2 linked regions of the Lytechinus pictus genome follow. The protein of the gene in region 1 purifies or fractionates together with the protein of each later gene. This does not show direct contact. Links are inferred from orthologs where the notes say so. Each region holds a gene or a part of one and is shown on either strand. Other genes may lie near its edges. The genes, in order: centriole and centriolar satellite protein OFD1-like and centrosomal protein 20-like.

Region 1 (12,682 bases):
TGGTTGTGTATCAGAATCCATGACTCAAATTCTTTAGCAATATTCTCTGTGTATCAAGAAAATATTATGAATAAAAATTTAAAGTATCAGTAGTACTATTTGGAACACTGCACTTTGTAAGCAGCTGATTCACAAAATTCTCACAGCTGATTCACAAAATTCTCAAGCTAAGATGAAACATAACAGTCATATACACGAGTGCTTGCATTTGTCCACAAAAACTGTGAAATAGTATAGAGTTTCAGGCATTTCAATCATACTTACAGCCTCAAAATCCAACCTTTCTCATCAAAATCCCTGAATCATTTGTAAAGTCAATTGGTGCAAAGACATGTCATAGGACATAGCCATAGGGGTTCGTCCACTAACCACACGGTCTACCTTCATTTAGTCTGCCAAGTTCCATCCATCAAAATTTCATCTAACAACCATTTGGTCCAATAATCACTTAATAATCTAATCACCAGTTTGTCTTTGACCATTTCGTCTCATAATCAATTGGTCCAATATGAATACCCATTTTCTTTTCATTCATATTGCCCAAATAACACTTAGTCCAATTAGACCAAATGGTATGGACTAATGGCTATTGGACCAACAGGTTATTAAACGAAACGGTGAGTGGACGAAATAGCATTTAGAACATGTGGATAGTGGACAAACTGATGGTAGACCAAATGATAGTAGACGAGTTGGAAATTGGATGAATTAGCATTAGACCAATTGAAAATATTCCTATAGGGCACCATTATTTTTTTTCAATCTCAAAATGAATGGCCAATTTTTACAGGAGAATAAGTTTAACGTTTTTGAAATACTAGTAGAAGGCCCTTCATATCAACTGCCCCTTGTCTGCGCACATTCTTTTCTAATAAAAGAAGATCCACACAACGAACACAAACTTTACACCTGAAATACATAGATATTCGTTTAAAAATCTACTCAAAATGGTGGGAAAATATTGAATTTCAGGCATGTCATGTGACGGCATCAAAATGCAGATTTTCTCATCAAAACCCAGAATCCTGTGTTGGTGCGCAGACATGGGGCACCATTTTTTTGTTCAATCTGAAAATAATTGGCATTTTTTTTAAGCGTTTTTTCCAATAAAATCATAAATTTCCTTCAAACTATTATGAGATTTTGGTATACTTACTCATAATTATGTAATATCAACTGAAAATTTTTGTTAAATAAAAACAAATTCATGTTAAATTTTTAACTTGAATAGTTAGGTGTGCAGACATGGGGCCCTCCTTCATATGATTAGATGCCCAAAGTCTGCATAGTACTGTCTGTGTATACAGAGTCCTTAGTGAAAATTAAATAACCTGCAATAACCATAAACTTCACACTGAATACACCTGGCTGCATTACATAGACAGATATTTAAAAATCTGGGTCAAGAAGACAAAATGATGGAGAAAATCCCTGTGTGTAAAGTGAATATGGGAGCCAAAAGTAATAAAAAGAACTTAACATTGTAATAAACGGAACATGCATGTTTCAAGGTTCATACCTTATTCTTAAAGCCTAAAATCATAAACAAGAGTCATTGGCATTTATTCATATTGGATATCAGGAAAAATTTGAGGAATGTATGCCCAGTTTAGTCTACATGTAAAGTCATGTGGACATGGTATTGGTATAAAATGGTAAATTGCCAATTTGTCTGCCAACTCATCACATGGTCTAATGTTATTGTACCTTCATTTAATCTAATACCATTCTGTCCATCAACATTTTGTCTAACAAACATTTGGTCCAAAAATCATTAGGTCCAATCATCACTTTGTCTAATCACCATTTCGTCTAATAATGACAATTTTGTCTCATAACCAGTTGGTCTAATATCCATTTTAAATATCCATTTTAATTTCATTCATTTCGCCCAATTAACACTTATTCCAGTTAGACCAAATGGTACATGTATATGGTTGGTAATTAGGCAAATTTCAAATAAACCTGTGGAACAAGGTGAATTTATTTTAATTAAAAAAAAGGAGTGAAAGTAAAACAATGTTGGTGAGAGCCAGAGATCAATATGTGAGCGCATGCCATGCACATGATGCATGGGGCACCACTTTTCAATCTGAAATAACTAGCTGCTTTTTTTTTTTTTTAGAGCATTGTCATTAAATTTCTCTCAAATTGTTAGATGTTTGGCACACTAAGTTAAGTAATGTTAGTCTTGTTAGACCCTGCTGGCTGCTGCTGAGTGCTGTTCTCTTGACATTATATAAGAAACAATATCAACTGACAATTTTGTAAAATTTAAAGGAAATTGATGCTCAGAGTCAGTCTTTTTTTTTCTCTGCGACGTTGATTTCATCAATATTTCTACTAGGTGAATTAACTTCAAATCTTGACATCAATTTGATGAAAATGAAGAAAAATGAATGATATTATTGAGAATACAACGTTCTTCCTGTACAATCATGACCATGACTGATATTGTGTTTGAAATGATGCTTGAAAGGATACGATATACATGTATAGGTGCCTAGCCGAGTAATACATTCTAACCTCGCATGTGTGTGAGTGACCCTAGACTAGACTTTGAAAAAAAGATGAGAGTATTGTCACTTTTTAAAAAAGGCATCTCTGTAAAGACGCGCAAGCATATTTGAAGTCAATAAATTGACGCAATCTCACTCATTTGCCACACCTCCTGGCGGAATGGATTTCCATGGCATTGGTCATGTTGGTTGAGTGAGATGAGAGATAGAGAATACCAATACAGAGAGATTTTAAGGGTATTTTATCTCACTGATTTTAACAGAGATAAAATATTTTATTTTATCTGAGATAAAAATCATAAAATGGATCTCAGAATTTACCAACCAAGAGTCTCCAGAGAGTCTAGACTGAAGTTTAAATTCACGGTGGGCCGTGGGTCGGGTCTGAAACAACGTATGGTAGGGGGTCCTAAAGCTAAGCACCACTTATCGCACATGCAGTTTTCAATGGCAAATGCGCACTATGTGGAATTGTGACTGCAGACGAACGATTCCTAATCAATTTTTTATACAGAGGCTGCATTTAATCTCTAAATGCAGAGAAAACCCACAACTGTTTGGAATTGGAGTTACATTCACTTTAATTTCATATGTTCCTGTATAATATGAACATATTTTAGAAATAAGCCAGTTCGTAGTTCCACTCTGTGCATGATCAGAGGAAGGTCATTGGTACTAAAGTGACATGGTGGTTTAAAATCTAATGAGATTTATAAGCACCAACTTTGGTGTCTTGATTATTCATATATTATTTTGATTTACCTCCACAAAAAACAAAATTGCGTCTACGAACGACTGGTATTTCAGTTTGCAAAGTACATGTACATTGGACAACATGCTATAATTATGCATTCAAAGTAGAAATGCAACAAATACCTTCATAGTGTTCATTGGTGTGCTATTCTGGTCACCTGGTCTATTCAATTTTTTCATCTTGCTATGGAAGGCATGCTTACGTAATATCTTGCATTGAAATCTGCCTATCATAGTGAAAGAAATGAAAGGTCATTTGACAAAAATTGTCCAAGAAGTAACTACGAACAGGGGTGGTATTCTGAAAATTGTCTTAACTTTTCTTGTAAGTCAGCAATATAACAGCTCGCTAAAATTATCTTAAATTGGTATTCTGAAAATTGTCTTATCCCTGTAAGAACGTCCCCTATTTTATCTCTGACACGCCCTATATTTCTTCATCAACCAATCATTAAGCTTGTGATATGCTAAGGTCAACCAATAGAGACGTCTCTTCTAAAAAATAATGAAGCGCATTGTTGATATGAGGCGTAATTTCCTTGCACCCGCGATGCTTATGCTTGTGCGCTTCTGTGCTAAAAATACACGTGGCTCTTCTCAAAGACATATTTTCTCTGAAAAGATTCATCGTCTCGAACACCAATTTTTAATTTGCTGAAAAGTCTACCAATCCGTCGTTATAATGTCTTTGCAAAGTCTCGTTTTGTAAAACATGATATTCTTGCGGGATGCAGCAGGAAATAATTATTGCAGACGGACAAATATCGCATGCAACAATAAGTTACAATAGCCCCTTACCTCTTGTAAATTTTCTTGTATTTTCCAAGGAAGTTAACATAACACAAAGATAAGAGAATTTTCAGAACACCTTTTACCTCGATAAGTTATCTTGCGCAAAGGGATATTTATGCGCCGTTTTTAACTTTACGCATAATTCTAGCTATGACATCATACGCGCTCGCCGAAAGTTACAAGAAAACATACAAGAATTTTCGGAATACAGATTTTATTGTAACTCTAAAGATACAAGAATATTTCTCTTAAGACAATTTTCAGAATACTGCCCCTGGTCTATTGAGTATACTATTTTTTTTGCATGATAAATGGAGTGCTAGCTTTAGGACCCCTTCTAGTTTAACCTTCTAGAAGTTCTACACCCATGAGGCATGACATCGGGCGGCGAAATTAAGAGGTGTTCGGAAAACATGGCAGGATTTTCGTATTTGTCAGTTTTGTGATATTTTCTCCTTGGTTTATGATTCAAATATTAAAACTGGCAGTTTTCATCGTTTGTAATAGTAAAATTGGAAATAAAGTGCGTAGCTTTAGGTCCCCCATCATACAACCTGCACCTAAGTTAACATTGGCACCTGATTGTGTGAACAGTCGAGTCCACATGATACACCAACCTGGTGGACTGTATGGCAAGTTCCCCCAAGTCTGCGCAGTCCCCCTTGTCTGCGCACACGCGTATCTGCGCGATTCTAGTAAAAGATACGCAACGAACACAGACTTTACACATGCATTACATACAGTGTAGACAGATTTTTATTTTAAAATCCGGCTCAAAATGGTGGGAAAATAATGAATTTAGGGCACTTCATGTGACGACCTCAAAATGCAGCCTTTCTCATCCAAATCCCCAAATCGTGTGCAAAGTGAATGAGTGCGCAGACATGGGGTATACCCAGTTGTTGTGTGTCCGGATGATCAATTTTAGAATTTAGAATTAACAAGTCATTTGGAAAAAATTACAAGCAAAGTTTCATCAAATTTTAGTACAAAATTTTAGGAAATATTATAAAGAACAAAGAAGATGATTACAAGTATTGAATTCATATTTTTAGTGTAATCCAAAGACAAAAAAGAAGGCTTCGAAAAGATAAACTGTCCGGACACCCGACCCCCCATCCTACCATTTTTTTTTCAATCTGAAAATGACTGCCCAAGGTTTTTTCAAGAAAATCCTATATTTTCTTTCATTTTTCAGTGAGAAATTTGGCACACTTACTCATAATAATATAATAAAGGAACATTAATTATTAACTGAAATATTTTGTGAAATAAGAAGAATTTCATGTTAAATCTTAACTCAAATTGTTAGGTGCGCAGACTTGGGGCCCACCATATCATACTTCATAGTCATACCGTAGACGTAGTATGGCAGGGGGTCCTAAAGCTACGCACCACTCATCGCGCATAGTTTTTATGGCAAATGCGCACTCTGTGTGTGGAACTGTGACTGCAGAGTGACGAATGATTCCTATTCAATTTTTTCTACAGAGGCTGCAGTAAATCTCTAATTTAATGCAGAGAAACCAATAACTGTTTGGAATTTTGGAGTTATATTCGCTTAAATTTCATTTTTTCCTATAATAATATGAATATATTTTAGAAATTGAGGCACAGGAAATACTATTTTTTTGCATGATATTAAATCGAGTGCGCGTAGCTTTAGGACCCCTTCTACATCGGGTGGCGAAATCAAGAGGTGTTCGGAAAACATGGCGGGATTTTCGTATTAGTGAGTTTTGCGATATTTTCTTCTTGTTTAATGATCTTTAGAATGTTTGCCACAAATTAGTGAAAGATATTTGTTGAAATATTAAAATTGGGATAGTTTTTATTGTTTGAAAACAAAGTGCGTAGCTTTAGGTCCCCCCATCATTTTTTCAATCTGAAATTGAAAATGACTGCCCGAGGTTTTTTCCAAGAAATTCCTAGATGATAGATCTATATTTCTTTTAAATTTTTATGAGATATCTGGTACACTTACTCATATTTTATAATAATAATATAAGGAACATTATTAACTGAAAGATTTTGTGAAATAAAAAGAAATTCATGTTAAATCTTAACTCAAATTCTTAGGTGCGCAGACTTGGGGACCACCATTATTCATTAAACGGAATACGGATGATGATCCCGGGTCAACATTCGCCAACTTACAAGTTTTGCACAAATTTTCATCTGTCTCGGCTAGCTAACTTTTTTGGGGGTCAAAAAGTTGTACAGATTTAAATGCTCCAGCCTTTTCCACTTGTCTTAATGCTGTCTTCTCCAATCCTTTCAAGCCTGCTAACCAACTTTTGTCGCCACCTCGTCAGTCTTTGAAATTGAATATCCCGCGCTGATAATCCAACGGTACGGTATATCGCTCGCAAATGCAGCCTAAACTACTGGCCTAGAGATTGGCAAGTTGCCCTCTCTTCGGATCGATCGGCAGCTCAGCGCTGCAGTGCATTGGAGCAGAAATGTTGGTAGAAATTATCGACCAAAATATATGGGTACAAGTAATTAGTATACATCTCTATGGTACACATACAAACAATGATCCCCTGACAATCTGTTGCTAGTTTGCCAAACGTCCAAACACTTTAAAAATGCATAGTCTATTTAATACTAAAATTCCCAAAACACTGTCAAAACTTGCCAAGTTTGTTAACATTATTATGAAACAGTTTCGTAGATAAGTACCAAATGTATATACCTGTATATTATGTTATTATATCCTTTTTCTTTCTCTTTTTGTTATTCATGTGTTCAAAAGTATTATCTTTGCATTCAAGCAATCAAGGCTTTCATCACCTTTTTTTGCCATATTATAGCTTTTTATATTTATTCATGTTTTGTTATGTATGTATTAATGTACGTATGCACTATGTATGAATGTATGATGTATATCTATGTATATTCTCATACTCCGAAAGGGGTCGACAGAATAAAGTTTCAGTTCAGTTCAGTTCACGAGTGTTAGTGATTGATGGGATTATTTAATTCGTGCATGCAAGCAGGCGCGTAGCCAGGGGGGGGCGGTGGGGGCGGTCGCCCCCCCCAAAACGTCCCCAAAAAGAAAAAAAAAAGAAGGGAAAAAAAAGAGAGGAGAAAAGGAAAAGAGAAGGGAGGAAATGGAAGAAAGGTAGCTTTGTCGGTTTTTTTTTTCTTTTTATTCTTTTTTTTCTCAAAAGAGAAACTCCTTCACTCTTGCTCAAAATTTATATATGAATTTTGCTTAAATGACAATATTGAAGTTCTCCATTGTTTCCCCCACCCTTTCTCTAACCATGTTTTTCCACCTCAGCTATATATATGTGTTTCTTGCCAGTTAAAGTTCAAACGTATACATTAGGGCATGGAATTAGAGTAAGGTTAAGCCGATCAGTATATGAAGTTATCTTTTTTTTTTAAATTGATCGCGCAACTTCTGGTCGGGTCGGCTCCGGGCGGGTAAAATCTTTATATCAATTACTGCCGTCAACTCCATAAAGTCAACTTCTCCCGCTTTTCAGCTCATTACTAAACAACCATAATTTTGGGGCAAACAGGTTCCTAATTTAAGAAGAGGAATGTATAAAATTTGTGTCGTATTAAATAAAAAAGTACAATATTTTTTTATCAAATTCTATTAATCGTCATGTCATTTCCCTGCACATTCATCTCCTGTCCTGTTTTGCGCCCTCAGTTTGAAATTTTTAATGACACTTAGGTTTCTTTATAATTCAAAATGAAGCGCTTCAGGATAAGTCAAAGAAATTAGGCATCCTTTTTTATATAATTTCAATAAATCACAGAAGTTTCAACTTTTTGCGCACTATTTTCCTTGTAATGAAGTTCAATAATCTTAGGAAATCAATTGAATTAGAGCCGATGGGGTACACAGCAAAAAAAAATTATACAACGCTGTTTAATATATGAACCTTACAGCAATTGTAAACAACTGTAAACAACTGTTTAAATCTTAAGCAACAAAGTTTAATTTTCAATATCTAATTTTCAATAAATTAAACATGATTGTTTAAACGGTTAAACAAATACTGTAAGGTTCATATAGTAAACAGCGTTGTATAAAATCTTAAACAGCGTTTTTACTGTGTATTAGAGATATCTGCATTTGATGAAACGTCCGCCCTTTGAAATTTCAGAGTTTTATTGCTCTGCGCGGGGAGGAATATCTTCCTCCCGGCATATACACTTCTTCTCCTCTGTTTTGCGAGTTAAAGATATGCACTGTCGCTAAATTGTTTGTAATCAAATCTGATCTTTCCAAGGGAAGTATTCAATATATCTTTGAGAATACCCTTTTCTCGGGACCCTTTTCATGGCAAAAAAAAATTGATAAAACGCTTTAGCTTCCGCACTTCGCGCGGGGTTATTATGATTTTAATTTCCTCCACTGTATTCCTTTTTGTGCGTTCACAATCACTTTTGAAAACAAGGTTCAAAATCACAATATAGTCAACTGAATTGGAGCTGATATAGATACTAGAGACAAGAGAGACGGCTCCTTTTCATTTTAATTTATGAAACACCAAAAGCTTCGCGCTTCGCGCGGGAGGGGGAAACTCCCCCTCCCTGCACCCACCCCCTAGGGAACGCGCTTCGCGCGCTCTGTAAGTGTTGACACGCTTCGCGTGCATTTACCGCCCCCTCCAAAATGAAATCCTGGCTACGCGGTTGATGCAAGCAGTCTGCCCCCTGACGAATCACAACCCATGCAAGGGACGTATCCCTGCCCCCCCCCCCCCCTGACGAGCTTGAAGACCTTTTTTTTTTTTTTTTGCTTGTCAATTTTTTTTTCTTGTACGAAATCCTACATTTGGGGTTGAAGACTTTTTTTTATTTATATATTTTTGCTTTTCAATTTTTTTTCTGGTATGAAATCCTATATTTGTGGTTTAAGACCTTTTTTTTTTTCTTTTTTGCTTGTCAATTTTTTTTTTGGTTCGAAATCCTATATTTGTGGTTGAAGACCTTTTTTTTTTTTTTTGCTTGTCAAATTTTTGGGCCGACGAATTTGCCCCCCCCTGTGGAAAATCCGCCACGGGGGGGGGGGGCAGCACATGCGTAAACTTTTTCCCAAAAAAATCGAAAGCGAGGGAGGGAAGCGACCAAACTTGTCATTGTCTTTGTCATTTTGCAAGCTTATTTCCAATTCATCCAATATTGCCAACTCGTCTACTATCTTCGGTCTACCATCAATTCGTCCACTCTCCACGTATTGTCGATCTACTTTCATTTATATAGTCTAATACCATTCCGTCTAATAACCAGATGGTCTAATAGCCATTTATTTGGTCTAATTGGACTAATCACAAATCAATTAATTCACAAATTAATTAATTCGTTTCAAATACATCAATAAAACATGGAAAACAATAAACACTGCCATATAACGAGAGCATAAAAGAACGCATGAAAACGATAAAGCACAATAATGTTGAAATTCATGATTCTTTTCGTATAGCTGATATATTTAATCAATACTTTACACAAATTGGAAAAAGTCTTGCAGACAATATACCATTAACACAAAAGAAATGTACGCCTTCATTCACCAACCAAACCCTAATTCTTTATTTTTAGTACCATGCAGTACATAGGAATTATATAGATATAGTGAACAACTTAAAAAAAAAAAACTGTGGTCACCTCGGATGGTATTGATAATATTTTATTAAAGAATGTTATAGAATATATTAATCTATTAGTATACATATTTAACCTTTCTTTAAGTAATGGCGTCCGATGTGCCTGACAATACGAAAATATCGAAGATAATACCAGTGCACAAAAAGGAGAAATGTATGTAACTATAGACCGATAGCTTTATTGCCTACTTTGACTAAAGTTATGGAAAGGGTGAGCTATACAAGATTATTAATTTTTTTAATAAATATAATATAATTTCTGATTTTCAATTTGGATATCGCCAAAAACATGGTAGGCCTACATCTCATGCCACTTTCTTATTAATTGACAAAATCACAAAAGCTATTGACAACTTTGAATATACAAATATGTGTTTTTCTGAACCTCTCCAAGGCCTTTGACACTATCATGAAATACTTTTCTACAAACTTGAAAATTACGAAGTTCGTGGGAAGGCCTTGGAGTGGTTCAGAAACTATACCTCGCAAATCGTAAACAATTCGTAAGCATAAATGAACAAAATTCTTCTCTACAGAATGTTAACTGGGGTGTTCCCCAAGGCAGCCTCCTGGACCCACTTTTATCTATTATCTTTATAAATGACATCCAGAACTCCTCTGAAATATTATCTTAATAATTATGTCCTTTTGCAGATGATTCAAATAGTGTACTCTACTCTACTCTCATCCTAACCCCGATATTTTAATTATTGTACTGAACACTGAACTTGGTACAATATGGATTAGGGCTAACAAATTGTCAATTCATGTACAAAAAAACAAAATGCATGCTTATTAGCAATGCTTTAGAACAATTGCCATTTAATATTAAACTGGACAATATAGACATTTAAGTTGTTACTGCAACAACATTTTTAGGTCTCATAATAGACAACAAATTATCTTGGAAAACACACACTGACTTTATATGTCGTACAATTTCACGCGATATTGATGTTATCAGCAAAGTTAAGTTTTTTTCTTCCAACTTCCTCCCTAAAATGCTTTATTCGACATTAATTTTACCATATCTAAATTATGGAGCAATTCTTGTCTAGAAATAAAATCCATAGCGTAGAAATGTCGGAAATGAAGTTGTATCCCATGTACATGATTTAGGGCTAGATCTTTTAGAAAGAAAGTAGAAATCTCGGGGCGAAAGTTTCAGGTTTTTTGGTGGTACACGCAAAAGTATAGGAAGGAAGACCTGGCTTCGTATGAGAGTAACCTTACGTTAGTAAATGATTTTTACTCTCTAGAAGCCTCCTGGCTAGACTTGGGGACCACCATTATTCATTAAACGGATGATGATCCCGGGTCCACATTCGCCAACTTACAAGTTTTGCACAAATTTTCATCTGTCTCGGCTAGCTAACAGCAATTGTTTGGGGAAATACACACTCAACCTACCTAGATAGAATATTGTTTTTAAAAAAGAAAGCGTTTACAAAGATCACTTGTTTTTCAACAATAACATTCTAAAAATAAAAACACTGTAAAGTATCCCGTAATTAGTAACCAACTGGAATAAAATTATTGGAAATGTTTTTTTGACTGATTTGAGTAGGTATGGGTGTCAACATTTACCCAAAAAAAGTTTAGAGGAATACGGGTTGGGGAAAGTGGTTTTTTCAAGGTCTAAGGTCAATGACTTTTTTAAATATACTGTATCATGGTATTTCCCAGATAAAATATTACAGGTTGGTGATCATGGTGTCAAAATGCACAGATTCTTACAAGAAGATAAAATAAAATAAAATCAAGTACCTACAATGCTCATTCACCCATGAAATTCAAGGTCAAAGCCTTTGAAAGGTCAATGACCTTTTTAACATTATATACCATATACGGTATAATGGTATCTCTGAGATGAAAAGGTGCAGGTTGGTTATTTAGGTGTCAAAATGCAGAGGTTCTTACAGGAAGATTAAAAAAAAAAATATTAAGTACCCAGAATGTACATTAAACAATAAAATTCAAGGTCAAAGCCTTTCAAAGGTCAATGACCTTTTTTTACATTATGTATCATACTGTATAATATTATCTTTGAGATGAAACGGCACAGGTTGGTGATCGTTGTGTCAAAATGCACAGATTCTTACAGGAAGGTCAAATAAGATAAAGTTAATCACCTAGAATGCATATTAATCCATAAAGTTCAAGTTCAAAGGTCAAAGGTCAATGACCTTTTTACATAGGCTATATATCGTATAAAGGTATCTCAGATAAAACGCTGCATATTGGTGATTTTGATGACAAAAAGCAATTTTTACAAGAAGATAAAAAGGCTCAAAATAATCATACAGAATAATCCTTCAACTTTGATATCCAAAGTCAAAGGTCAAAAGATGACAAATATTTATATATCCATGCATGAAAGAAAGCGTTTACAAAGATCACTTGTTTTTCAACAATAACATTCTAAAAATAAAAACACTGTAAAGTATCCCGTAATTAGTAACCAACTGGAATAAAATTATTGGAAATGTTTTTTTGACTGATTTGAGTAGGTATGGGTGTCAACATTTACCCCAAAAAAGTTTAGAGGAATACGGGTTGGGGAAAGTGTTTTTTTTCAAGGTCTAAGGTCAATGACTTTTTTAAATATACTGTATCATGGTATTTCCCAGATAAAATATTACAGGTTGGTGATCATGGTGTCAAAATGCACAGATTCTTACAAGAAGATAAAATAAAATAAAATCAAGTACCTACAATGCTCATTCACCCATGAAATTCAAGGTCAAAGCCTTTGAAAGGTCAATGACCTTTTTAACATTATATACCATATACGGTATAATGGTATCTCTGAGATGAAAAGGTGCAGGTTGGTTATTTAGGTGTCAAAATGCAGAGGTTCTTACAGGAAGATTAAAAAAAAAAAATATTAAGTACCCAGAATGTACATTAAACAATAAAATTCAAGGTCAAAGCCTTTCAAAGGTCAATGACCTTTTTTTACATTATGTATCATACTGTATA
Region 2 (13,274 bases), on another chromosome or scaffold:
TATTTTAATCTCCTTCTTCTCTGAATAACTCTCTTTATTTCCTTCTCAACCAATTTCTCTCAATCAAGCCTATAAACTAGTGGATTTAACGTAAGGACTAAAATGTCCTTTGAAATTTCTGAGGCAAGGCAGTGGCTGTAAATATTTTTTTCCTCAGGGGGCATGGATACTTAAGATGTTGAAAAACATATGCATGATAAGTAAGCAAGGGATTGAAGCAACCAATTATATGACATTTGGGGTTCTTTTTTTTAATACTTTGTGTGCATTTGTGAACATTTACTACAAATTAGTTTTCAAAATCCGTGGGAGGAAGCAGGGCCATGGGCGCGATTTTTTTTTGCTGGGGGTGCTGAAGTAAATTTGACATGCAAGCAAAAAAAAAAAAAAAAACGTTTTCACATCAAAATGTGCGTAATTTTCCCTATATTTTCCCCAATTTGCCACACCTACCAGAATTCCTGGGGGTGCTGCCTCTGGAGAATAATACACGCAGCACCCTCTGGGAAACAGGGCCATGGGAGGACCCCCCCCCCCCCCCATCGAGAGACATTTGATTTATATTTGTCTATTCCTCTATGCAAATGCTATCAATTCTATCAAAAATGAAAATGTAATATGTAGGCATTTTGAAAACTCAGGAAATGTTCCTTCCTCTCTCGCATATTGTGGAATATCATATATTTTCCCTTTTCAAAATCTAGTACCACCCCCCCTCTCCTCTCTCTCCAGTTCTTCTTCGATCTCTTTCTCTATGTCTCTATTTTCATATAAGGTGCAAAGGTGCATACATACATTACACTGTAACAAAACAGAAAAAATGATTTGCGTTTGTAAAATATGTATATATATTTCAATCTTTATAACTTTTGATTTGTCAATTCCTTAAATCCTAAATTTCAAAGTAGAAAATACTGTACTTGCATTCCAGAGAGAGGGAGAGTATTTCTAACAATCCCATTTACTTAAAATGCACAACTGTTTATCTTCATCAAACACTCACATACTACTTAAAATATTAAACTTTTTATCCACAGATATAGTTCCCTTGTATCATATCAGCATTTGGTTTAGAATTCCTGATTTCATTTTCTTATCAAATTTTGTAATAAAATAAAACAAGGAAACATATTGAACTATCGGGAATACACATTTTGGGAAAGGATTTCAAGATGAAAAAAAATTATAAAAATGTCACTTGAAAAAAAAAAGGCACTATGATGTGTATCATCATATATTTTAGTAACCAACACAAAAAAGCTACAATTTTTTCTCCTTAGAACTTAGCCTCACATCACTTGTTTATTGAGGCAACACTGAAACTTTGTTCAAAAACATAATTATAAACTTCTTTTTTTTTTCCATTTGGAAAGTGTGAGAATGTATTTGTTCGAAACTTGAGATGTCATTTCAAGAAGATACATATCAGATGGTTGAATTGCATATTTAAAGTCAGAGCTTTATACACTCAAACAGCACAGTTCATTTGCTCACAGCAATATGATAGATCTCTTGTTTGATTACATTGTATAACATAAAAATGTTGATCACATGAATTAGAAAATCTAGTTGACAAATCGTCTGAAAATTAAAAGTAGTCTCGAGCAATAGGCTAACAAAGATGAAATATATATGATTAGTACACTGAATAAAAAAAATAACCTTGTGAGCATTTTCAATTAATTACACTCAATGAAAACAGCCTGGTAAAAATTATGATTTGTTGGAAGAAATTAAAAACAAGTGGAGCACCTCTGGCAGTCTCACCTGCATCACACGATTCAATATAGCAGCAGTGCTGACTTTGAAAACTACTATAAAATAATTATTAACAAAAAAACACCATTCATATAATGATACATTACTACGTTCATCGGCAAAAAATGACATTTGACCTTGATCATGCAACCTAAAACAGTGATACTTGATTACCCCTATATCCACATTTTATAAACTATATCTATAAACTTTGAAAGTTACTACAGCAATCTAATAATTACCTCCAAAATGGCCAAAGTTCAATGACCTTAAATGACCATTGACTTTGGTCATGTGACCTGAAACTCGCATGAGATGTTCAGTGATATTTGATTACTCTTATGTCTAAGTTTCATAAATCAGATCCATAAACTTTAAAAGTTAAGATGGTAATTCAACAGATACCCCCAACTTGTCTGAAGTTCATTGACCCTAAATGACCTTTGACCTTGATCATGTGACTTGAAACTCAAACAGGATGTTCAGTAATACTTGATTAATCTTATGGCCAAGTTTCATGAACTAGGTCCATATACTTTCTAAGTTATGATGACATTCCAAAAACTTAACCAAGGTTAAGATTTCAATGTTGACGACGCCGCCGTCGTCGGAAAAGCGGCGCCTATAGTCTCACTACTATGCAGGTGAGACAAAAGCTATTTGAAAAATATGCAGGTGAAAGTTTGAAAGGAGAAAGAAATCAGATAAGAAAAAAAAGCATATGAATGTTTGGAAAATATATCTCTAAATATATCCTACTTAGTTTTAAACTGGCAATTAAGTGAGTAAATTGTGAAAATTTGAGGTAAACTTTCCAAGAAAACTTGACTACCACTTTGAAGTTTTGGGCCCTGTGACTGGAGGACTGAATTTTATGTTTGGTTACATTGACTATAATGTGAAATGTAGCTTACATGAACTATTTTTTTTTGTATTGAGTTTTCTTCATACTTGCAAATGGAGAAAAATAGTGTCTCAGATTTTCCCAAATGATGTCCAGATTGCCTCGAAACCCTACAAGATTTGTAGGGTTTTTGAGGGTGATTGTTAAACTCAGTATCTTCTGTCTCAACTCTTGTTCCAAGTAGGAATTCCCAGTCTTTCTTGTTCCATGTCTGTAATCCGACATTATTAACAGCTCCAACAACTAGGACTGTGTTCAGTTCATCAACAAACCAATCCACACATTGTTGCAAGATGACATTAAGCCATACTGACCATTATGAAAATTAGGCAGTGGATTGTAAACGTAAGAAAGAAAAGTCCCTGTTTCAAGTCTTCCATTTCATGTTGACAATATGATACAAACAACTTACAGCATAAGGACCGGTAAATTCTTTAATCAGACCAATGCAAACAGAGCTTTGTCACAAGTTGAAACTATGTGAAACTAGATATCATCTTGTCTTGTTGCTGAATGTGAACGGCTCTCCTACCCTCACATCAGAATGATGAGGAACATCTATAGAAGAAGAGGAATCAAAGAAACAATCAAATGAGGACAAAGGTTCTGAAAAAAAATACAAAGGTATGAAAATAGAAGCTTATTTCCATGTCTCGATTCACTATGCAATAATAAAAACCACCCTTGACAAAACTAGATCAAATTGCATTTAACTGAATTCTGCGATTCTTAGACATGTTTCGTTTTTCAAGCTATGCTTGAAAAGATAAAACACTATTGATAGTTTTGGGAATAAAACTGATTAATTCTGACCTAAAGAAATCCCTGTATAAAAGGAAAACGTGTTAACTTTTACCTGATCTTGTTGTCCTGTGACGATCTGACCTGACATGAAGTGATCTCAATTGATGTGATGATGATTGGTGGGCGGGGCTCACTGAAGAACCTCTTCCTTGACCATGGATGAAGTGTGAAAGTATCCCATACAGGAGAGGTCTGAAAACAGAAATATTGGAATCTTGATAATAATCAACAAAATAAAGAGGGATCCAGTACAAATTCTCCAGAAACCAAAACCTGATCCTTTTTTAATGATTTTTAATGTTCTTGTATCAAATTAAATTGAATTTTTCAATCAATATAAATCAGTCGGAGAAATCAGAAATCTATTTTGTACTTGAGTTAAAAAAAACACTAGGGCCCGAATTCACAAAGGTGGTTTTTAAAACCGTCGGTTGAACCCATGGTTTATGCAGATTTTCGGTATAAATTATGCTTATTTACCGCATATATTAAAAACTGTCCAATGCTGATGCAAGCTTTTGTCAGTGTGCCAAATTGACGCCTGTTGCCATGGTTAAGTACGCTATTGTATTCATGAGTCAAAGACATTTTAAAAAAAATTACATTAAATAATTAATCTTCACTCAGTTACATTTAATAGTGCATTTACTTACATGCTAGATGTATTTTTGTCTTCTACTAGATTGAGCTCAGTGGCCAAAAACTGGCGATCTAGTGGAGTAGTGGGCTGCCCAGACTCTGAAAAGGAAGAATTTTCATAAAAACCTATTTTCTTTGTACCATTTGGTAATGAAATCTATTATGCACATAAACCTGATTAAATATTTTTAAAATCCCAAGACCAAAGAAAAGGGTTTCATTACTTAAAAGTTCTTCAAATTAGGTAAGAGTAACTATTGACAATTTTACTGACAAGAGTGACTATTGACAATTTTACAACTGTTAAGCTTTATCTATTCACAACCATACCTGATAGTAGTACTGATGATGTATATTTATAGTGGTTGAACTCTAGATACTCTCTGATGAGTTCATTGATGAGCATGTTTTCATTGCTGAGTGGTGGTTTCCTCTGATTTGGATCATCCAAGGCCCGGAAGACTTCAGCTCTGACTCTTGCTTTGATCTCTCCAAGGACACCATTATTTTCCAATGTCTCCTTGACAACTGGGGAGAATTATAGTCCAACAAAGGACAGAGACGGTATAAATACAAAAACTCAGTCAGAAAGTTTAGTGTAGTTTAAAACTTTAAATTCAACTGGCTTTAGAGTCATTTAGACAAGACTAGCCGTCTAGTGGAAGTCCATCCTGCTATCAAGTTGGCATTGAGAAAAGAAATGAGAGAATATATCTACGAAATTTTAATTATTATTAATATAATATTTTATTTGGCAAAAAATATGAAATAGAAAAGCAAGTCAAGTACAACAATGATAATTTTTTTTTTTTAATAATACACAACTAGCAGACTAGTCACTACAGTAACACAATAATAATAGTAGGGCCTAGAACAAAAATACTTAAACACTAGATTCACCTGGATGAGCTGCCAGGCATTGGGCAAATTTAAACAAATAGACCCTAACTATGTCATTCATAACCTTGTTAATTGAATGAGTGTATATGACATAGGCCTAGATAGATCCACCATCCTGCCTGTGGGTAATCTACAGGTAGGACTATGGTATGACAATGCTGTACACAGCACACAATTTAAAAAATCATTAAAATATCACTTTTGTGACCAAAAATACTAATTTACATACAGTTGCAATTTATTTTTCATTATTATTAACTTTGGAGTAATTTTTGTATTCACCAGAATGCTCAAAAACTTGAATTTTTGGCATATTTTTGTGAACGCCCTCTATTGGTGGAAATTGTCATTTTTCAATCTCTATTTTTTAATTAAGAAAAAATAATCTAAAGAATCAAATTTACTTAAAGGACAAGTCAACACCAAGAACAAGTTGATTTGAATAATAAGAGAAAAATTCAACGAGTGTAACACTGAAAATTTCATCAAAATCGGATGTAAAATAAGAAAGTTATGATATTTTTAAATTTCACTCAATCTCACAAAACAGTTATATGCACATACCGGTCGGTATGCAAATGAGGGGACTGATGACATTTCGTTTGTACTTCTTTACATAAAATATGAAATATTCTAATTTTCTCCCCTTTATCCTGTGAAACAAAGTTTCATTTCTCCCTGAACATGTGGAAATACCATTGTTTAACATTTTATGGTCGCATGCAGTGTTTTGAAATCGGCCGTGAATAATACGTGTGAGGAAAGATACTGGCCCAAAAAATCACAAATTTTGAGGATAACCGGAGGATGGAAACGGAGTGAAATATGGGTGTAGAGTAAGATATTAAGTCAATCATCTTTTTCGTTATATTTTTTTTGTTTAATTTTACGATTATCATGATTGCCATCCCACCTTGGCTTTGTGACTCGGTAGGCCTATATCCGAAATGGTTCACGGTCCCGATGTTCGGGTAGGTGGAGCGGAGTGTAGCGGTAGTGAAGTGGAGCCTGCACGAACATCGCCCGAGGTAGGTTATATCATAAAAGGTTATGATCTATCTCACTCATTCTATGAAAAGGGGTTCATAGAATGAGTGAGATAGATCTAACTTCAAAAGCGCTAACACAAATATTAACAGGTGGGACACAGTCAAATTTATTGTTTTTATTTTCCCCTTTTATAGCTTTAAACAGTATCTATATCAATAATTTTTAATCCATAGTGTAATTAAGAAGTAGCATTGTAATTATTCATGGAAAAAATAAAGCAATATTCACCTGATTTTAATTCTTGGGCTTGAGCCATTTAAGCGTTTTACTTCTCAGCAAATTTAAACAAAACCGCTGGCTTATGGATGTTTATGGAGCGCCGAATGGGGAGCCAGCTAAAACGCGGAACTCGGATCATTTTGTTGTTGTTGTTGTTGTTGTTGTTAGGACATGTAATATTGGAGCGAGGAGGCCGAGGTGATGAGGGTTTTTAAAAAAACATTGCCAATGACTTCAATTCGTTTAGGTTTTTGAGTATATGGAAAATCTTTTGTTTATGTTTTGTTGTGAATATTTGACACTCGAAAAAGAGAATGAGTAGGCCTATAATTATGTCGATTTTGTAAATAGATACTTGATATACACATTATTATATCTATCATTATACAGGTAGTATGATATGGAGTTTCAGTGTAACACTCAATCATTTGATATTGTGTTAATATATACATATACTTGCATTGAAAAAATATAAACAAGTTAAAGAAAAAATATATTACATGTAAGTTAGTGCTTCTAAAAAGAAAGAACAAAAAATGCAAAGTGTTGAAATTTTTTTTCACTTATTTTTTCGGATCATCATGTTTGATTGAATGTCGGCTCTGTTAATGTTCTTCTTGACAGTTTGATTCCCCTTCCCAGCCCCCGTGCCCTTCTTCTACCATCTGCCCCCCCCCCCCCGTCGGCCCCTCTTGCGGGGGCCGCGAAACCGAAGGCTGGAGGGCTTCAGCTCCCTTTTTTCTCAAAAAATCGTGTACCAAAAAGTAAGAAAATGACAATCTGATTGCGATTTTTATCATGGTAGTGCCCCCACTTTCAAATCCGTTCCGCGGCTCAGTATAGGGTCATGTATAGGCCTAATTTAAATTTGGTTTCGGGAAAACCTTGAAAAACACACGGCCAATATAGGCAAATCAACGATATGAAAATGCGTTGTGCTATTATTTGGAGGATATATCAAAACTGGAAATGAGTTTCCTTCTAGAATTTGTGCGATTATAAATGAACATTTATAGGTTGCCAGAAGAAAAAGAAAAATATCGACGTACTTATTTTTAAAAACATAAAAACCAATTTTCAATTAAGCACGGTAGAAAGAGCTGTCTCTCCCCCTCCCCCCCCCCTCTCTCTCTCTCTCTCTCTCTCCCTAATTGCCTCCCCGGGCCTCCTACCCCTTTTTACTTTCCCCTTTTCTTGAGCCCTAACTTCCAGCTAAAATTAAACTTTTGGTAAAAACATCTGATATCTATGGAAAAAGTATATGATAAGATGTTTCTGTTAGGTTTATTTGTTTCTTTGGAAAAAAGAAAGAAAGAAAGAAAGAAAGAAAGAAAGAAAGAAAGAAAGAAAGAAAGAAAGAAAGAAAGAAAGAAAGAAAGAAAGAAAGAAAGAAAGAAAGAAAGAAAGAAAGAAAGAAAGAAAGAAAGAAAGAAAGAAAGAAAGAAAGAAAGAAAGAAAGAAAGAAAGAAAGAAAGAAAGAAAGAAAGAAAGAAAGAAAGAAAGAAAGAAAGAAAGAAAGAAAGAAAGAAAGAAAGAAAGAAAGAAAGAAAGAAAGAAAGAAAGAAAGAAAGAAAGAAGAAAGGAAGGAAAGAAGGAAGGAAGGAAGGAAGAAAGAAAGAAAATAGACTGCATGAAAAGCACACATCAAACCATTGGCTTCATATATCACATTTATTGCACATGATTGTCATCCACAAAGATTTTGATCGCTTTGTACTGAAACATTGAACGTGCATATTAAGTACAAAAAGAAAATGAATGTCAAAGTCATTTCATTAAACTAATAGATGCGGAGTGCTTCTTCTGACAGATATGACAAGCTCAATAACACCGTGATTTCATTTCATCCTACGTTCAAATACAATATAAATAGAAGATTGCATGATGCATTGCACATAATAGACAATAACAGCAGTTGAAAGTATGAGAAAAAATACTCATACAAAATATGTAATTCTATTCTTCATGTTTTTGTGGAACACCAAATGACGTGCAGTATGGAAAGAATGAGACTACGATTGAGCTGTCAGGGCTTGAATGGATGTAGATCAAAGAGCTAAAAAAAAACTTTAATTGATTCTAGGTTAAAATCAATTTTAAGATCAATATCGAAAAAAAATCAAGGCCTTATACCCATATTAAATTATGTCCTAGCTCCATTTTTACAATTTCAGTGTCAATATATATTTTTTTTTGCTGAATATGACTTTGCATTTTAAAATCGATTTTAAACTGTAATATTTTAAAATAGATTTTTCTGTTGATTTTGAAATTGACTTTGAAATCTAGTTCCTAAATGGTTTTGGAAAAAAATAGATTTCATTGTTTGTTTGAAAAATCGAATTATTCTTTTAAGTCGATTTTTTTAATGTGATTGTAAAATGATTGATTTCAGATAATGGAATAGATCGTAAAATGGAACTCATTAAATCACTAAAAAGGTTCATTTGATTGGTGTGCAGACATGAGTAAAACGTTCTTAATTCTACAATCACGATTTTATTTTTGTTCTCATGTGAAATGTAACTATATTTTTTTAAGAATGTATTTCAAAATTGCGCTTAAAACTGATTTTATCGTCTTGAAGTTGATCGCATGCAATGCCTATATGCATTTGTCTGAACGGTCACAAGTAACGTATTATGACCGACCATGGTTGAATTTTGATAATGAGGATGATTTATCAACGAGCAAGGACTCACATCAACATCTTATAAAACAAATAATCATGGCCCTGTGAAGCGGGGGTGCTGCATGCATTAGGCAGCACCCCCAGGTATTCTGGAAGTTGTGTAAAACTTGAAAAATGTAACAAAAATGACCTTCATTTTGTAGTGAAACCATTTTTCTGTTTTCTGCTTTTCAAATTTCTCGGAACAATTTGACCTCCTCCATTTGTAAAGAATACCTTTTTTTATTTTTAAATTTACATCAGCACCCTCACAAAACATTCCTTTCCAGGGCCCTGCAAATAATGCACATATTTTGCTCGGATATGTCCCGAGCGTCTTGGAACTGTTTCGAATATATATAGCTAGGCATACATGTACCTTGTTCGTGAAATTTTCATTAATGCTTTTGCTGAAGTATGTTATAGATTATGCATTGAAATAAATCCAATGTAAAGCTAATTAAACACGAAAACATCTCCAAGTCGTACTAGAAATAATTATCTTGAAAGCTACTTTAAAGGTCAAGTCCACCCCAGGAAAATGCTAACTTGAATAAATAGAGAAAAATCAAACTAGCATAGTGCTGAAAATTTCATCAAAATCGGATGTAAAATAAGAAAGTTATGACACTTTATAGTTTCGCTTATTTTTCACAAAACAGTGATATGCACAACTAGGTGAGTCAGTCGATGATGCCCATCACTCACTATTTCTTTTGTTTTTTATTGTCTGAATTATTCAACAGTTCATTTTTTATAGATTTGACAATATATAAGGACCAACTTGACTGAACCATATAGTATTAGACAATGCTAATTCCACATGTTTAGGGAGGAATTAATCTTTGTATCACTTGACAATGAGGAGAAAATTAGAATATTTCATTAAAAAAAATACAAAAGAAATAGTGAGTGGATGCTGTCATAGTCTCCTCATTTGCATACCAGCCAGGATGTGCATATAACTATTTTGTGAAATTAAACGAAACTTTAAAATGTCATAACTTTCTTATTTCACATCCGATTTTGATGAAATTTTCAGTGTTATACTTGTTGGATTTTTCTCTTTTTATTTAAATCAACTTTTTGTTGGGGTGGAATTGTCCTTTAAAAAGAAAAATCATTCGCGCTTTCGTTTGATCGTGTTTTAACACATATGCAAAAAAGTATGAACACAAGTTTCTACATGTTCCTATTTTTACAAAATTAAAAAAGACGGTTTGCCACCAGGGTACCAGGCTATAGTAATTGATGTTTCAACACTGTTTAAAGTAGAAAGTAGATTAATATGCATGAAACAAATGTTCAAAATATTTTCCCTCATCAAGAGTAACCTATTTCAGAGGGTACACAAGTACAGCTGGAAAGAAAATCGTCCCCGGCCGTGACGATAAACCTCAAGAAATCGTCACAACGATCCCACCGCTGCCACCATTAAGTAATGGAAACGATTCTAGGCTAACATTGAACTGTCGTCATGGCCGTAACCGAGATGTAGGTACAGACTCGATATGCCAAACCTTTACTCACAATTATCAGGGGCGGATCCAGGATTTTCCAAAGAGGGGGGGGGGGGGGGCAAAATTTCCAGATGAAAATTTGACAAGCAAAAAAAGAAAGGACGGTTTCACCTAAAATTGAAGGCCATTTCGTCCTCACTTTCAAAGGGGGGGGGGGGCACACTTGGGTAAAAACGGTACACTCTAAATTACAGGGATTTAAAATTAGTCCACATGGACTGTAGTTAGGGACCAATCGAATTCCGGATTTAATTGAATCCTTCAGATTCCTTTTTTAAATCTCGAAAGATTTAAATTTAATTTAAATTTAAATCATTTGAGATTTAAATTTAAGTCTTTAGGATTAAAACAAAATCCAGAAATCGATTGGTCCCTAACTACAATCCATCTAGACTTATTTTAAATCCCTGTAATTTAGAGTGTATATTTACATTACATATTTTGATTATGGCTCTCAAAAGGGGGGACACAGGCCGGATGTGCCCCCTCCCCTCCCTTGGATCCGCCACTGCAATCATGGAACGTATTGGTTAAGCGGATGGGTGATTATTCCGTTTATGGATTTTAAAAAATAAATCCATGAAGGATTGGATAACCCAGACTTCAAGGAAACAGCAATGAAGAAGTTTTCACGTGCACGACGCACGACGGAATGTCAATACAATGTCAAACGTCCTATAGAAAACAAACACAGCCAAGAAGTCTGTCAAAATTGATAAATCTAAACAACAGTTTCATCCTGGACTCTGGACAAACGACATATTCATCATTCGTCAGCTCCGAAACTAATTAGGACGAAACTGCTGTTCCGGTTCACAAATTTTCGACAAAGACCCAGATGTTCTTTGAATTGCCACTTGACGGGCATTTTCAGTACATTTACTGTGTTCTTGAATCTGTCCCCATTGCATTTGTGAAACTCCCTGTCTGGGCTCCTGGGACGTATCATGGTTAACTTTACTTCATCAGACCATGATTTATTCATGTTTTATTTAACACAATCGGTAAAAACGGTGGAGAGTACAGTCCGGTTCAGTTGAAAAAACTGTTTTACAACAGAATCATCCAAGACCGGACATAAAGATCTAATTAAATGTCCACAGGGTTTCCTTTGACAATGTATCGCCGGTTGCAGTGAAGGCGCCATTCTTGTAGCCTTTCAGGAAACAGTCATTGTCTGGGTGCAGAGGACGTATGGCCAGCTTGGCTTTACCAAGTATTGTGTGAAGCTCTAGGATGAAAGATGTTGGTTGACCCATGGAGGCGGCTATGACGTGTTCCTTCAATGAGTCCATGCACCATGGATTCCCATCTTGATCTAGTGGTGAAATGAAAAGATTATGAAAGGAGGAATGTTTATCATTACATTTTAAAGGCATCATAACCAAATTCTTCTCGGCATTAGAGTTTGATAGATACTCTTTTGAATAGTATTATGTAATTTGTACGACCAAGGATCTTAATTGTTATTTTGCCTCGTCTTTACTGAATCATACCGTCTTTTATCTGCGGTACTTTTATTACAATCAATCTTGATATACCAATTTCTTGAAAGTAATCACACATTAAATTCTTTAGATTTCGAAGAGGAACCTATCAAAACGTAAATTGAAAATTTAAATCTAATTGATTTAGAAGTCAATTTTATTCTCAATTTCATTTTAGATCAGTCCCCGTGACCACCGTGACCACCACAATAGACTAATTTCCAATCCCAGCAACTCTCGAATTTGACTTTTATAACTACGTTCAGAAAGTTGAAATATTCCTTGATGATAATCTTCCTAGATCGAAAGAATGTATCTTTATAGTCTTTGCAGTGACCCATTTCCATTTGATTTTTTTCTGTCTATGTGAAATCAATACCATTTCTGTGTTTGTATAAATTGTATTGTATCCAAATGTAAATCTTGTAAATTTGTATGTAAATCTTGTAAATTTGTAAATTTGTATGTATGAATTGTATCTTTTTATCGAATGGAATGAATAAATCTTGAATCTTGAATCTTGACCGAATTGTTAAAATACGAAAATACGAAGTTCTACCTGTAATCCGATATGTACTTGTATCCGGTTCGTATGTCAAATTCAGTTCGTCGTAATCCGCCGAATTGCATTTGACTTTATTTTTTCTTCCTCCTGTTTCGCGCTTGACGAATCCGAATTCGCCTTGGAGAATGAGTGAGGTGCGGTTGGCGAGCTCCATGCCGATCTTGCCAGCGATGTCGTTGATGTTGGCGGTCAAGAATGGTTGACCGGAAGCATCTATCGATACGTATTGTTGGGAATTGGAGTGGCGAAGGGCGAACGAGTCATTGACGAATTCGAATTCAAACTGCTTTGCAGTGCTGAAAATAAAATGAATGAAATCAAATGCTTTGTTATAAACATCACTTTTTAATAAAAAGAACTTAAAGCCTTAATATACATGCAATTAGCTACTTTTTCATCCCAACCAGGTAACGGTGCAATGTAGGCTATACGAGATTTTTACCGTCACAGTGTGCTTAAAAGACGCCGGTGATAATGCGTATACATGGGAATATTTGCTCGTTCGCTTCGGCTTCTCACTCAATATTATTTACAGATACTTAAGTGTTTTAATCATTTATGTCATAACAGTAGCTGGATCGAAGACCCATTTTGTAATTGGGCTAAATATGATAAAAAGAGATGTATGTACACATTTTATTTATCTTTGGGGTCTCATAAATTTGAAAATTTCCGTTCAGTAATGAGGCTATCGCACCCCAACCCCTTCACCCACTCAGTAAACACACTGGACTCACTCTGCTTCTATTCCATCATC

Evidence for each region.
Region 2: the proteins of centriole and centriolar satellite protein OFD1-like (region 1) and centrosomal protein 20-like purify together in Homo sapiens (co-immunoprecipitation; 3 studies listed by BioGRID and IntAct, with this or other methods). This does not show direct contact. The link is inferred for Lytechinus pictus from reciprocal best matches to the Homo sapiens genes OFD1 and CEP20.

Annotation. Positions count from the first base shown.
Region 1 is NW_026974140.1:11,824,605-11,837,286, forward strand, and holds the start of centriole and centriolar satellite protein OFD1-like, read right to left. Parts: upstream 6,587-12,682; 5' UTR 6,222-6,586; intron 47-6,221; 5' UTR 22-46; coding exon 1-21. UniProt on the Homo sapiens protein: Component of the centrioles controlling mother and daughter centrioles length. Recruits to the centriole IFT88 and centriole distal appendage-specific proteins including CEP164. Involved in the biogenesis of the cilium, a centriole-associated function.
Region 2 is NC_087254.1:24,245,771-24,259,044, forward strand, and holds centrosomal protein 20-like, read right to left. Parts: upstream 6,371-13,274; 5' UTR 6,312-6,370; coding exon 6,284-6,311; intron 4,634-6,283; coding exon 4,436-4,633; intron 4,205-4,435; coding exon 4,120-4,204; intron 3,659-4,119; coding exon 3,519-3,658; intron 3,221-3,518; coding exon 3,156-3,220; 3' UTR 818-3,155; downstream 1-817. Other genes in the region: fascin-like, read right to left, coding at 11,551-11,783, 12,512-12,813. UniProt on the Homo sapiens protein: Involved in the biogenesis of cilia. Required for the recruitment of PLK1 to centrosomes and S phase progression.